Linked DNA regions of Sus scrofa. The protein of the gene in region 1 purifies or fractionates together with the protein of each later gene. This does not show direct contact. Links are inferred from orthologs where the notes say so. Each region holds a gene or a part of one and is shown on either strand. Other genes may lie near its edges. The genes, in order: LMNA, HNRNPM and KPNA6.

What was found.
Region 2: the proteins of LMNA (region 1) and HNRNPM fractionate together in Homo sapiens (co-fractionation; 3 studies listed by BioGRID, with this or other methods). This does not show direct contact. The link is inferred for Sus scrofa from reciprocal best matches to the Homo sapiens genes LMNA and HNRNPM.
Region 3: the proteins of LMNA (region 1) and KPNA6 purify together in Homo sapiens (affinity purification with mass spectrometry; 4 studies listed by BioGRID and IntAct, with this or other methods). This does not show direct contact. The link is inferred for Sus scrofa from reciprocal best matches to the Homo sapiens genes LMNA and KPNA6.

The regions. Positions count from the first base shown.
Region 1 is NC_010446.5:93,916,194-93,919,803, reverse strand, and holds part of LMNA (prelamin-A/C), read left to right. Parts: intron 1-376; 5' UTR 377-617; coding exon 618-973; intron 974-3,610.
Region 2 is NC_010444.4:70,856,042-70,860,173, reverse strand, and holds the start of HNRNPM (heterogeneous nuclear ribonucleoprotein M), read left to right. Parts: upstream 1-1,332; 5' UTR 1,333-1,402; coding exon 1,403-1,515; intron 1,516-4,132. UniProt on the Homo sapiens protein: Pre-mRNA binding protein in vivo, binds avidly to poly(G) and poly(U) RNA homopolymers in vitro. Involved in splicing.
Region 3 is NC_010448.4:88,609,561-88,613,954, reverse strand, and holds the start of KPNA6 (importin subunit alpha-7), read right to left. Parts: upstream 2,828-4,394; 5' UTR 2,435-2,827; coding exon 2,431-2,434; intron 1-2,430. UniProt on the Homo sapiens protein: Functions in nuclear protein import as an adapter protein for nuclear receptor KPNB1. Binds specifically and directly to substrates containing either a simple or bipartite NLS motif.

The DNA.
Region 1 (3,610 bases):
ATGGGCACCAGCCTCAGCCCTCCCCCCACCTTCCTGGATCTGCCTACCTGGCGCCTTCCCTTGCTTTAAGGCAGCTTTACCTCTCTCCCCTATCCTTTGCCCACCCACTCTCACCCTTTGGCTCTGCCCTCTGCCCCCCAAAGGCCAGAGGTAGTGGGGACAAGCTGGCAACTTGTCAACTGGCAGTGGGGACAAGTTAAGCCGGCAGGGACCTGGCTGCGCGAGCTTCAGCGAAGCCACAGGCAGCTGGGGGTGCGCTAGAGAGGGTGGGGCGCCGACTCCGCCAACGCCGGGCAGTCCTCACCCCTCCCACTCTCACCCCAGTGGGTTAGAGACGGCCCCTTTAAGAGCAATGGCCCCTCCTCCCATTCCCTAGACCTATTAGAGCCTTTGCCCAGGCGCCGGTGACTCAGTGTTCGCGGGAGCGCCGCATCCACACCGGCCAACCCAGATCCTGAGGACGACAGCGTCTGGCCCAGATCCCCACGCCTGCCAGGAGCGAGCCGAGAGCCAGCCGGCCGGCGTGCTCCCACCTCGATCAGTCTCTGTCCTTGGCCTGAGCCCCGCGCCCTTCCCGGGACCTCTGCCCCGCGGGCAGCCTTGCCACCCTGCCGGCCATGGAGACCCCGTCCCAGCGGCGCGCCACCCGCAGCGGGGCGCAGGCCAGCTCCACCCCGCTGTCGCCCACCCGCATCACCCGGCTACAGGAGAAGGAGGACCTGCAGGAGCTCAATGACCGCTTGGCGGTTTACATCGACCGTGTGCGCTCACTGGAGACGGAGAATGCAGGTCTGCGCCTTCGCATCACCGAGTCTGAAGAGGTGGTCAGTCGCGAGGTGTCTGGCATCAAGTCTGCCTACGAGGCCGAGCTCGGGGATGCCCGCAAGACCCTCGACTCGGTGGCCAAGGAGCGCGCCCGCCTGCAGCTGGAGCTGAGCAAAGTCCGCGAGGAGTTCAAGGAGCTCAAGGCACGGTGAGTGCGCCCAGGTGGCGACATGCGTCATGCGTGGCCGCCGGGGGCGGGGGGCGGGGGGATGCGGAGAGAAGCAGAGAGGGCCCGTCGACCGTCGCCCCTGCCCGGCTCCAGGCTGCCGGATAACTTTGCCTTATAGTCTCCTCCCTCCCCGGAACCGCCCCCGGCGGGTGACTGGCAGTGCCAAGGGAAATTGTCAAGACAGGACAGAGAAGGGAGGGGTCCTGGGAGAGGGTGGGTGTATATAAGAAATGGTGGAGGCATCAGGGCCAAGTAGGAGCTGATGGCAGGCCCACATTCTGTCAGGGTGGGATTTGCCAGTCATCTGGGGCCTGGGGGAGCACCTTGGGCCAAGGGGAACTGGCCCTGCTATGTCTAAGAAATCTGGGCACCCAGGACACTTTGGAGTGGGTGAAAGGGCCCTGTTAGAACTTTCTTGGCAGGCTTGGCACGATGCCAACTTTGCCTAGCCTGGCTCTGAACACATGACACCCACTTAGACAGAGATCTCAAGCTGGTGGATAGCCAGTGGTGCTGGAGAGAGATCGCCAAAGCAGAGCTGACTCCCTTTTACCCCTGTAGGGGCATGGCGACGGCCCCCTTGGCATGACCTTTTCCAGGGTTCTTTCTAAGAGTTGGGAAGCTCTCCCTCACTCCCGGCATGTCTGGGATCTTCTCTGGTCTCTGACAGGCCAACCAAATAGCTCCCGGAGAGCGGCTCCCCCGCAGCTCCCACAGCCCTTGGCCTGCTTGGCCCAGGAATGCAAGGGAGGGAGGGAGACAGAGGGCAGAGGCTCCCAGCTCAGGAAGTTGTGCTAGGCCCAGGTCTGCACCCTCCAACTCTCCCCACCTCCCCCTACCCCACTCCCAACCTCTGTCTGGAGTCTTTGAGGGCTGGGGGCTCTGTCTCTCCCTGCCTCCCTCCTTGGGGTGAGCCACTTTCATTTTCCCAACCAAGTCCAGCAGTCTTTGCTCTTTTGCTCTGGCCCGTCCTCTCAGCCACTGACGTGTGGTTTTTTTGGTGGTTTTTTTTTTTTTTTTTTTTTTTTAATCTTTGCTTTATTAAACTACTGGAATATAGTGACATTTTTGAAATCCAGCCGTTGGAAGCTTTAGGCCACTCCTACCTCACCCATCCCTGCCCCACCCTGCCGCACCCTACTTGGCCCCTCCCTCTTTTCTAAGACAGGCCTTTGGAACTGGGAAGTTTAGGCCCTCTGCAGCTCCCCAAGAATTTGTTTCCCTCCTCTCTGGTCTCCTTTTCTCTACTCAGACCTCAGCCAGAGAGCACTAAAGGTGCTTGGAGATCCCTGGTGGAGGAGTGGGGGGCCCTATGGTTTGGCTTCCCTTCTTTGCATCATCTTCTCCAGACCCATGCCCTTCTCTGAACCACTCTGTATTCCGCGTTCTTTATACCCCTTGGCTAGCCCCCAGCCCCAGGCGAGGTGGCTGTGGCAGATCCATCCCCCCTGTGAAGGGTGATGGAAATTGTGTGGGGAGGCAAGGTGACTTTATTTCTGTTGAAAGGGATCGCTCCTGCCTTTGTCCCTTTAGTTAGGCGGACAGACAGGAGGCCAGCTAGGGGAGTCCTGGAGTATTGGTGTTCTAAATCAGTCCACTCAGCTGCCAAACTGCTACCTTGCAAGATCCCTGTGAAGGGCATTCTTAGCAGATCTTTTTTCTGGGGAAGACATTGATCAGGGAACAGAAAGAGTGGAGGCTACGGTCTCTCGCTCACTCAGCCACTCCAGTTTGTCTCCTCTGTCTCCTGGTGCAGCTGTCCCGGCTGGGACACCAGGCGGGTGTGCGCACACGTGGGGCAGGGCCGGGGGTGGTGTGTGTACTTGTTATATTTAGCCACCTGCCTCTCCTCTCCCCCACTGATCCTGGCAGGGGAGGCTGGGCTTCCGGAAAAGGGGGGTGGGTTTGCACACCTGGATCCTAGGCTGATGGGAGGCAGGGTGGAGGCATAGGGGGCTCCGCCTGGGGTATCTGTCCCTTTCTACCTCCCCCACAGGGAGGAGCCAGGATTCCTTGCTCCCTTTTCCGTCTGGCGTGCTCAGGGTGAGGTGAAGAGTGGAAAGAAGAATTTGGGAGAGGAAGAAAGGCATTGTTCTAACTCCTCCCACTAAAGCCTAGAAAGAAGGTGTTGTCTGGTTTAATGTTTAATTAGAGCTCAGAGTTCAGGGCCAGACTTTGGGTTGGGATGCAGAGTTATCTGTAAAATCTTGTGGCAATTCCTGGCCCAACCTGGGTAACTTGGCCACACCCTGGGACTTGAGGCACCCTTTCATTAGGCTGGGTAATAGGCTCTGAGCAGGACCCCCCCCCTTTCCTGCACCCACAGACACATCCACACGTCCCTCTCTACCCTGGAGCCTGAAGGATCTGGACACCTAAGTGCAGGAAGACTGAGGAGGTTAAAAACATTAGGGAAGGCCTGCCTGGGGTTCAGGCTTTAAGCTAGGCCCCACCCTAGGCAGGCCGGCTGAGTGGATGACTCACATGCTGCCCCCCCTCCCTCCCACCCTGGTGGCTTTACAAGAGACAGCAGGAGACAGAGTGGGGACAGCAGATGGCTTAAAGGGAAGGATGGGGGCCTGAAGGGCTGCGTCTTCTGCTCCCCACTCGCCACTG
Region 2 (4,132 bases), on another chromosome or scaffold:
AAAAAAAAAATAAAGTACCTAGGGGGGAAAAAAAAGGAACAGAGGATTTTAGTAGATCAGAGATTTTAGGAGGGGAGGGGCTTGCAAAGGGCAATCTTGAAGGAAACCTGTGAGTCTGAAGAGTTTGGGAAGTCTGTGGGAACGGGAGCTGAAAGGAGAGGGTGGGGCCTAGCCTCCGGATCAGGCTGGGCTACTGGGTTTATTCTCTGGGACTGAAGTTCTTAATCCACTCAGAATACCAGCCCAAATTAAGCGTTTTATTTGGAGGAGGATGCGGCAGGTGGGATAGTCCCCCAGAGTGGAAGGAAATGTAGTTATTCAGTGAGAGGGAGAGGAAAACAAAACAAAACATCTCTTCCTTTTTTTTTTTTTTTTTTTTGCCTTTTTGTTATTTCTTGGGCCGCTCCCGCGGCATATGGAGGTTCCCAGGCTAGGGGTCGAATCGGAGCTGTAGCCACCAGCCTACGCCAGAGCCACAGCAACGCGGGATCCGAGCCGCGTCTGCAACCTACACCACAGCTCACGGCAACGCCGGATCGTTAACCCACTGAGCAAGTGCAGGGACCGAACCCGCAATCTCATGGTTCCTAGTCGGATTCGTTAACAACTGCGCCACGACGGGAACTCCACATCTCTTCCTTTGTGAGCTTAGAGTTTGGTGGTTAGGTGGGAACTCATGCAAGATCCAGTAAAGCATTTCAAAGTTCCAGATAGGGGTGGCTTCTGGGGAAGGGAGACAGAGGGACCCAAGATCAGGCAGCAAGGACCCCACCATTTCTTCCATTATGTGATCTCTATCACGTTTGGCTTCTTGCTTTTTCATTCACTCAGGAAACGTGCATAAGCACATACTAAGTCTCCAGTCATGCGTTTGGCTTGTAATGGATGGGTTCGGTGAGAGGGACTTAGTCCATGGGCTCTGCATCCAGGAGTTCTTAGAGCGGTGGGGAGATAGGTCGGATAGAGCCCAGGTATTCTTGGTGCAGGATACTTGCTTAGAGAGAGCATTTTGCACATCTGTCCTACTGCCTGGCCCTTCAGTGTCCTACCCTTGCCTGGCTAACTCGCTTATAGCCTAGTATAGTATTTCGCTGCCCTTCTGCCCCAGCTCTGTTTGCAGATACCTTGGAGTTACTGGGTCCGGGTAGGGGAATGGAAGGATGCCTCCCCTGCCAGACCTCGAGAGCGGATGGTGAATCCAGGAGGTGCCAAACGCGAGAATGAATTAACAGCTGATGGTCTGCGCCTGCGCGCGGCGGGGGGCGTGGCCCGGGGCGTGAGGGAAAGAGGCCGGAGGCCGCCGCGGCGCGCGCAGGCGTTACTGGTCGCGCCGGGTCATGTGAGCGCGCAGGCGCAGCGCCGCGCAGCCCGCTCGCTCACACAAAGCCCAGACGCGAAGAAAATGGCGGCAGGGGTCGAAGCGGCGGCCGAGGTGGCGGCGACAGAGCCTAAAATGGAGGAGGAGAGCGGCGCGCCCGGCGTGCCGACCGGCAACGGAGCTCCAGGCCCGAAAGGGTGAGTATCCTATGGCTTCTCTCAGGCCGGGCACTTTCACGGCGGTCGGCGGCAGCTCCGTTAGGTCTGTTGGCGGCCTTCTCCAGGCGCGGCTTTGGCCGAGCCTTCCCGGCAGGGTCTGCCGAGAATAGGGGCGTCAAAGACTGTGAGAGGTGAAGCTGGGCGGCCCCGGGAGCGTCTTCAGGACCGCTCCCTCCTCCCATGCTTCGGCTCTCAACTTCTCCGGTCCCTCTAGGCCGGATCCGACGCCGACGCCGAGGCCTCAGGCCCAGACTCTGCGTGCGGGGATAATGGCGCGCGGGCGCAGAAGCCGACCAGTCTGAGAGCCCGCGACCCGCTGGCCTATCGGATGACCTTGGGCGCGTGGTTTCGCATCCCTTCCCTATCGCCCGGGGTCTCAGTTTCTCGATCCGTAAAGTGGGGGGAGGGGAGGGGAGGGAGTGCGCACGCAGGGCTTTGCGCGCGGTCAGTCTGGGTAAACGGTAGCAGAGGCGGGTAGGTACCGGGAAGGACCGCGAGGCCGGCTCGGGGCACCTCCTCCCCGCGCCTTCCCCTCCCCCCCCTCCCGCCCCCGCCTCGCGGGAAATGCCTCGGTCGGAACCGCCCCTTGCCCGACGCTCAGGCGCAGGCTCAGGTCCCTCACCTCCTTCCCAGGTGCGCAGTAGGTATTTGTGAAGAGATCGAACCGTTTGTTCTTCAGTGTTCAGCCGTAAAAACAAAGTGTAGGGAATAAAAGGGAAACATCCTCTTCCGTGTTCCAGAAGGTTTTCCATCATTAGGCGGATTCACCCAATCCAAACTCCGTCACCTTTTCGAGTCCTGTTTGAGGCTCTTTCTTGGGTCCTTGGTATTTAAGGTTTTCTTAACACTTTAAAGTAACGTCCTGTGTTCTCGTGAACCCCACTCATTGTGATTACAGCCTCTGAAAAATGCGGAGAGACTTTTTGGCCCCGACCAGCAGCTGTGGGGGGAGGAGAGGGGAAGCCTGGGTGCGCATTTGATTTCCCATGGACGTTAAAAAAAATTATTGGGGGGTGGGAATTGTAACAACCGAAGATGTTTACAATTTTAATCATTTTCAAGTGTACAATTTTAATCATTTTCAAGTGTACGATTCAGTGGCATCAAGTGTGTTGGCGGTATTGTGCAGCTATCACCAGTGTCCATGTCCACAACTTTTTCATCATCCCAAACAAACTGTAGCCATTAAACAATAACTTCCCATCTCCCTCTCTTCCTGGTTACCTGTGTTAGGCGTTCTGTCTTTTCTGAATTTGTCTTTACACAAGTTTTTAATGTGCATCATTAGAGTTTGTGGGAAGTAAAAGTGAATGTAGTTAAAGAACTTTGTTAATAAACACTCACTAAATAATAGCCATGTTGCTAAACTTGGGGGTGGGGGACAGAATACCATGGTTACTGGTCCCTGGAAATAAAGAGAAAGTATTCCCAACCCTTTATTATTGAAAGCTCTGGAAAGGGCCTTGTTCATCTAGACTTTTTTCATTACCTAGTAGGGAGCCTAGTAGGATTTTTGAGGGTTGTATTTGGAAGATACATTTGATTTCCTTTTTTTTTTTCTCCTATCAAAGCAGTTATCACAGGATGGAGTGCTGCTAGAACTGTATTAGCTGAGAAGTTATCAGTTACAGATTTTAACATCTGGGGTACATTTTTCAACTTTCCCATTTTCTACTGTCCATTTCAAAATAGTCATATTGTGACTTTTATTTGACAAACATAACACATTAGAATCTGAAGGTTTTCAAGACAAAAGAGCTCTAGTTGAAAAGAATCTGGGACTGCTTAATAGAGAGTATTTTAGGAAGTTAACAACACTTAGATCTTTCTTGTAGGGCCACTGGAAAACTGTGGTTTTTGTTTCCCTTTTTTTGCATTATGAGGCTTTTGAAGTAGAACTCTTTAAATTTTATTATTATTATTTTTTGTCTTCTTATGGCTGCACCTGCGGCATATGGAAGTTCTCAGTCTGGGGTTGAATCAGAGCTGCAGCTGCCAGCCAACACCACAGCCACAGCAGTGGGGGATCAGAGCTGCATCTGCGATGTATACCACAGCTCACAGCAACGCTGGATCCTTAATCTACTGAGTGAGGCCAGGGATGGAACCCACATCCTTAGGGATTCTAGTCTGGTTCTTAACCTGCTTGGCCACAGGGGAACTCCCCAAACAGAGGTCTTTAGAAAATGAAGCCCATGCTCATAAGGGGAGGCTAATGAATATTTTTGTATTAAGGTAATTGTGCTGTGATTGAGGTAAAAGGAGTTAACCAGGTATGGGTATGAAGGGGCTCCCCTCCCCCCCCACCAACTTGTTGGGGGATGGGCAGGAGATGTTCTTCCAGGAGGAGGAGGAGGATGAAAGGTGATAGGGAAGAGTCAAAGAGGAGTGTCCAAAGACTAGGGATTTTGATATATTCTTTGCAAATTTGTAAAGAACTGAAACTGCTGGAACACTGGGGGCCAGCTGGTGGGCAATGAATTCCAGGCTAAGGCATTTAGATTTTTATCATGAAAGCCTTTGAGGGATGGGAAGTGAGTGAAACTAGGTTATTTTTACCTTTGTCTCCATCAGGAGTGGAGTGTGCTGTAAACCT
Region 3 (4,394 bases), on another chromosome or scaffold:
CAACACAAAAAACCCCCATGAAACAAAAATACCAATAACCTGGTGTTCAGAAAGACAAGGAGCAAGGTGGGGTCGGGGGAGGTGCCTGAAATGTAGTTGCAGAGAAAAGGGCTGCCTAAAAGTCCCCTTCAGGACCTTGGTCGGGTTTTGTTGCTCTACTAAAGAACTCTCAAAGTCTATCGGAAGGAGTTCTCGTCATGGCGCAGTGGTTAACGAATCCAAGTAGGAACCATGAGGTTGCAGGTTCGATCCCTGGCCTCGCTCAGCGGGTTAGGGATCGGGGTTGTTGAGAGCTATGGTGTAGGTTGCAGATTCGGCTTGGATCTGGCGTTGCTGTGGCTGTGGCGTAGGTTGGCAGCTACAGCTCTGATTGGACCCCTAGCTTGCGAACCTCCATATGCCGTGGGAGAGACCCTAGAAAAGGCAAAAAAAAAAAAAAAAAAAAAAAAAAGTCTACCAGGAAAAAGACTAGCTTTAATCACACCTTAAGTCTTAGAGGTTTATGAATAGCAAAATGGCTAAGAATCTCAGTTCTGGCATTGCTGTTTTACTGCCTGTGTTATATTCTCTGAGGTAGTTTCCCAATCTGTAAAAATTAAGGGGCTTATTAAACTATATATTAGTTCCTCACCTTTGATGCAGCAGTGTTCCTAAAATTGAAGGCCAATACAAAATCTATGACATAAAATCCCCTGAAATTTTTCATTGATACATAAAGTTACAGTTACAAAGACAAGCCTATCAATCTTTTTTTGGCCATGCGCGTGGCATGCAGAAGTTCCCAGGCCAGGGATTGAACCTGTGCCACAGCAGTGACCCAAGTTGCTGCAGTGACAACCCACATACTTAACTCACTGCCACAAAAGAACTACTGATATTTATAGAGCCCTTCCTAGTCTCCAAATACTGACGTATCTTATTTAGTTTTCAAACACCTGGATTCCCTTCCCTCTTCCTAGAGACAAGGAAAGGAAGTCTCAGAAAGGAAGGAAAATAACATTTACTGTGGATTGTGCTAGATGTTTTCCATATGTATTTGACATTTAAGTGACTGGATGAGAGCTAGGGAGGGCATAGCAGGTAGGATTATAACACCAGATCTGATTCTAAAGTTATTGCTTTGCAGTTCAAGGGAATAATTCATGTTTCCTCAGGATGGCAGATCTTACAAAACTCAATCCCAGAATCTCATTTAGCTCCCCCACTCTCAACACACACGATAGTTAGGGTTAGCAATTTCACTTTGGAGTTTTTCAGTTTCTTTCTGATTAAAAAGTGAGTCCACTAGCAGAAAAACAAAACACCTTTACAACTTTGCCTAGGATTAAAAGCTTTCTTTCTCCCTTTTCTAGCCCAACCACTAGGGGGCCAGGCCATAAAGAACAGCAGCTATAAACTAGCTAGGGCTAGTGATCACCCCGGTTTAAGCCGCTGACTGTGTGACCTTGGTTGAGTTACTTTACCTCTCTAAGCCTCAGTTTCCTTATCTGTAAAACGAGGATAACAGCAATATCTATCTCAATAGGTTGTACATATTATATAAAACGTGACATGTAAAGCAATCAGAACAATGCCTGCACACAGGAAGAGCTTAGCAAATTTAATAGTTTTTATTGCTGGAGAGGAAGTACCCCTGATGGTTCTGTTCCTACGTCCAAAGACTTCGCCACCGCATTCTGGGCACAGGCCTTGCTAGCTGGAGTCCCCTTAGGAAGAGCAACAGGTCGCTCCTTTTCTCCTAAGCAGTGCCGGGCCCAGAGACCTAAGGTCTCCGACCTATATATGGCTACGAGGTGTTGGCAGTGGTATTCTACCACTATGAAGGCTGTCACTCTGAACCCAACCGAACCACCCCATTTCCGCCTCGGCTCTGGAAGTTTTCCCGGCCTTCGGCGGCCCAGGCTGCATTCGGCAAGGCTGCCCCTGGTTAAGGGCCTGCAGCCGGCTCGGCAGGCGTCCCTTAGCCCTAGGACTCCCTCTGCGACGTAGGCAGGATTTGCCTGAGTTCAGGGGAACCAGTGAATCTAATTAGGAGGCGCGTCGGTCAGACACACGCCTGGAGAGGGCCCCCTTAACGCCGCCCGGGCCTGCCACCAGGAGCCCGGCCCCCAGCCCCTGGCTCAGAGCAGGCCGGAGGGTCGGCCCCCTTCCAGCCCCCGGGAACAAGGGGAATCCAGCCCAGAGCCACCACGTGGGGGCTCCAGGAGTAGCAAGGTGTTCCTGGAACCAGCCCCCCAAAGACTGATCCCCGCATGGGCCCTAACCCGGCCCCAAACTGGCCTGAGCAGCGCTCCCGGCCTGGCTTCTCTCCCTCAAACCTATTTGGAAAGACTAAGACATCCTCTGCAGACTAGAGACAGGCTCTCGCCAGACCCCAAGCCCCGAGACCGCCTCAGCCCGAGTCCCCAGTTGCTTGGTTTCCTTACTCACCCATCGCGGCTCCGCTCGCTCCTACTTGGCGGCGGCAGCGGCAGCAGCTTCAGTAGACAATATGGCGGATCTGCAGGACGGCAGCCCGAAACGGACAAACAACTTAACACTCGATCCCGGGAAGAATCGCGCTTTCAGCTCCACCGCCTAGTTTACGCAGTGGAGCGCATTTAAAGAGACAGCAGCTACTAAAGGCGGAGAATAGGGATGGACTATGATGAAAGGGGTGGGTGGAGGGAAGCTGGGAGGGATATCTACTAAAGCGAGTTAAGCGTGCTTAGGGTTTCTCAGTTTTTTTCTGGTTCTGTTTCCTCTTTGTAGTGAGGTTTACCTCCCCTAGAAACTTTTTCTTCCAGAAAGATATTCCTACCTTTCCTAGTTAAAAAACCACGCCTAGATTCTGAGCTGGGTATGAAAAAAGAATCATCTGGAAAGGGGAAGTGACTTGCTCAAGGATATAGAGATAAGGAATTAAAGAAGTCTAGAGCAAACCCAGTTACAATCTTATTGGGAGATAAGAAGTAGAAAAATAATGAGACCCATGCCATGCTTTATAGTTGACATAGCTGTTTAATTTATCTTCAATGCAAGTTCTCTGAGAGCAGAGGTCGATCCTGCATTGTTCATCATTGCGATTCAGCACCTAGCATAGTATGTGGTACATGGTAGTGCACCATAAGTAATTGTTGAGTGAATAAACAAAGGAGTGAACAGACCTGTGAGTTACACAAAACAAGGAGTATGATCTCCCTCTTTATTTGTTGTTGTTTGTTTTTGGGGCTGCACCTGCACCTGCGGCACATGGAAGTTCTCAGGCTAGGGGTTGAATCGGAGCTGCAGCTGTCGGCCTCCGCCACAACCACAGCAATGTCAGATTTGAGCAGTGTCTGCAACCTACACCACAGCTCATGGCAACACTGGATGCTTAACCCACTGAGTGGGGCCAGGGATCAAACCCTTGTCCTCATGTATACTAGTCAGGTTCTTAATCAGCTGAGCCACAATGGGAATTCCCCTCCCTCTTAAGAGGTGAGGAAATTGAGGCTCTGAGTGTTCATGTGTCTTTTGAATTATGGAATTTATGGCTGGTATACATTAGGTCTGCCTTTTTGCATAATAGCATGACAGTCCTCTCCTTTCCACACAGGAAAGCTATGTCTCCCAGTCACCTGTCCCCAGAGGGAGCTATCTTTTGGAAGCCTAGGTCCTGTCCCAACAAATTGCCATCTCTAGTTATATACCTGGCACATTGAGGGAGACAACTCAAAAAGGCAAATCTAGGATTTCCTGCTGTGGTGCAATGGGTTATGGATCTGGCATTGTCTCTGTGGCAGCATGGGTTTGATCCCAGCCTGGCACAGTGGGTTAAGGACTTGGTGTTGTCACAGCTGTGGCATAGGTTGCAGCTGCGGCTGGGGTTCGATCCCTGGATTGGGAACTTACATATGCTGCAGGTGCGGCCAAAAAAAAAAAAAAAAAAAAAAAAAAAAAAAAAGCCGACTCTAGGACTCAATCTGGAACGGAAGGGTTATCTTTCTCTTCCTACTGCCACTGCTCAAGGTCAGAATTCTTAATTCTCTGCTGGCCTATTTTACCTGCCTCCTCACTGGTCTCCTGCCTCCAGGTTCTCCCACTTGCACCTACTATCTTTTTAAAAGTAGAGACCTTACAAGTTCCCCTTGTGGCTCAGTGGAAACGAATCTGACTAGTATCCATGAGGATACAGGTTCGACCCCTGGCCTTGCTCAGTGGGTTAAGGATCTGGTGTTACCATGAGCTGTGATGTAGGTCACAGATGCGGCTTGGATCTATGGCTGTAGCTCTGATTCGACCCCTAGCCAGCGAACCTCCATGTGCCATGGGTGTGGCTCTAAAAAGACCAAAAAACAAAACAAAACAACAAAAAAAAGTAGAGACCTTATCACATCACTTTCCCCCAAATATGCTCCTGTCTTGTTTTGTGC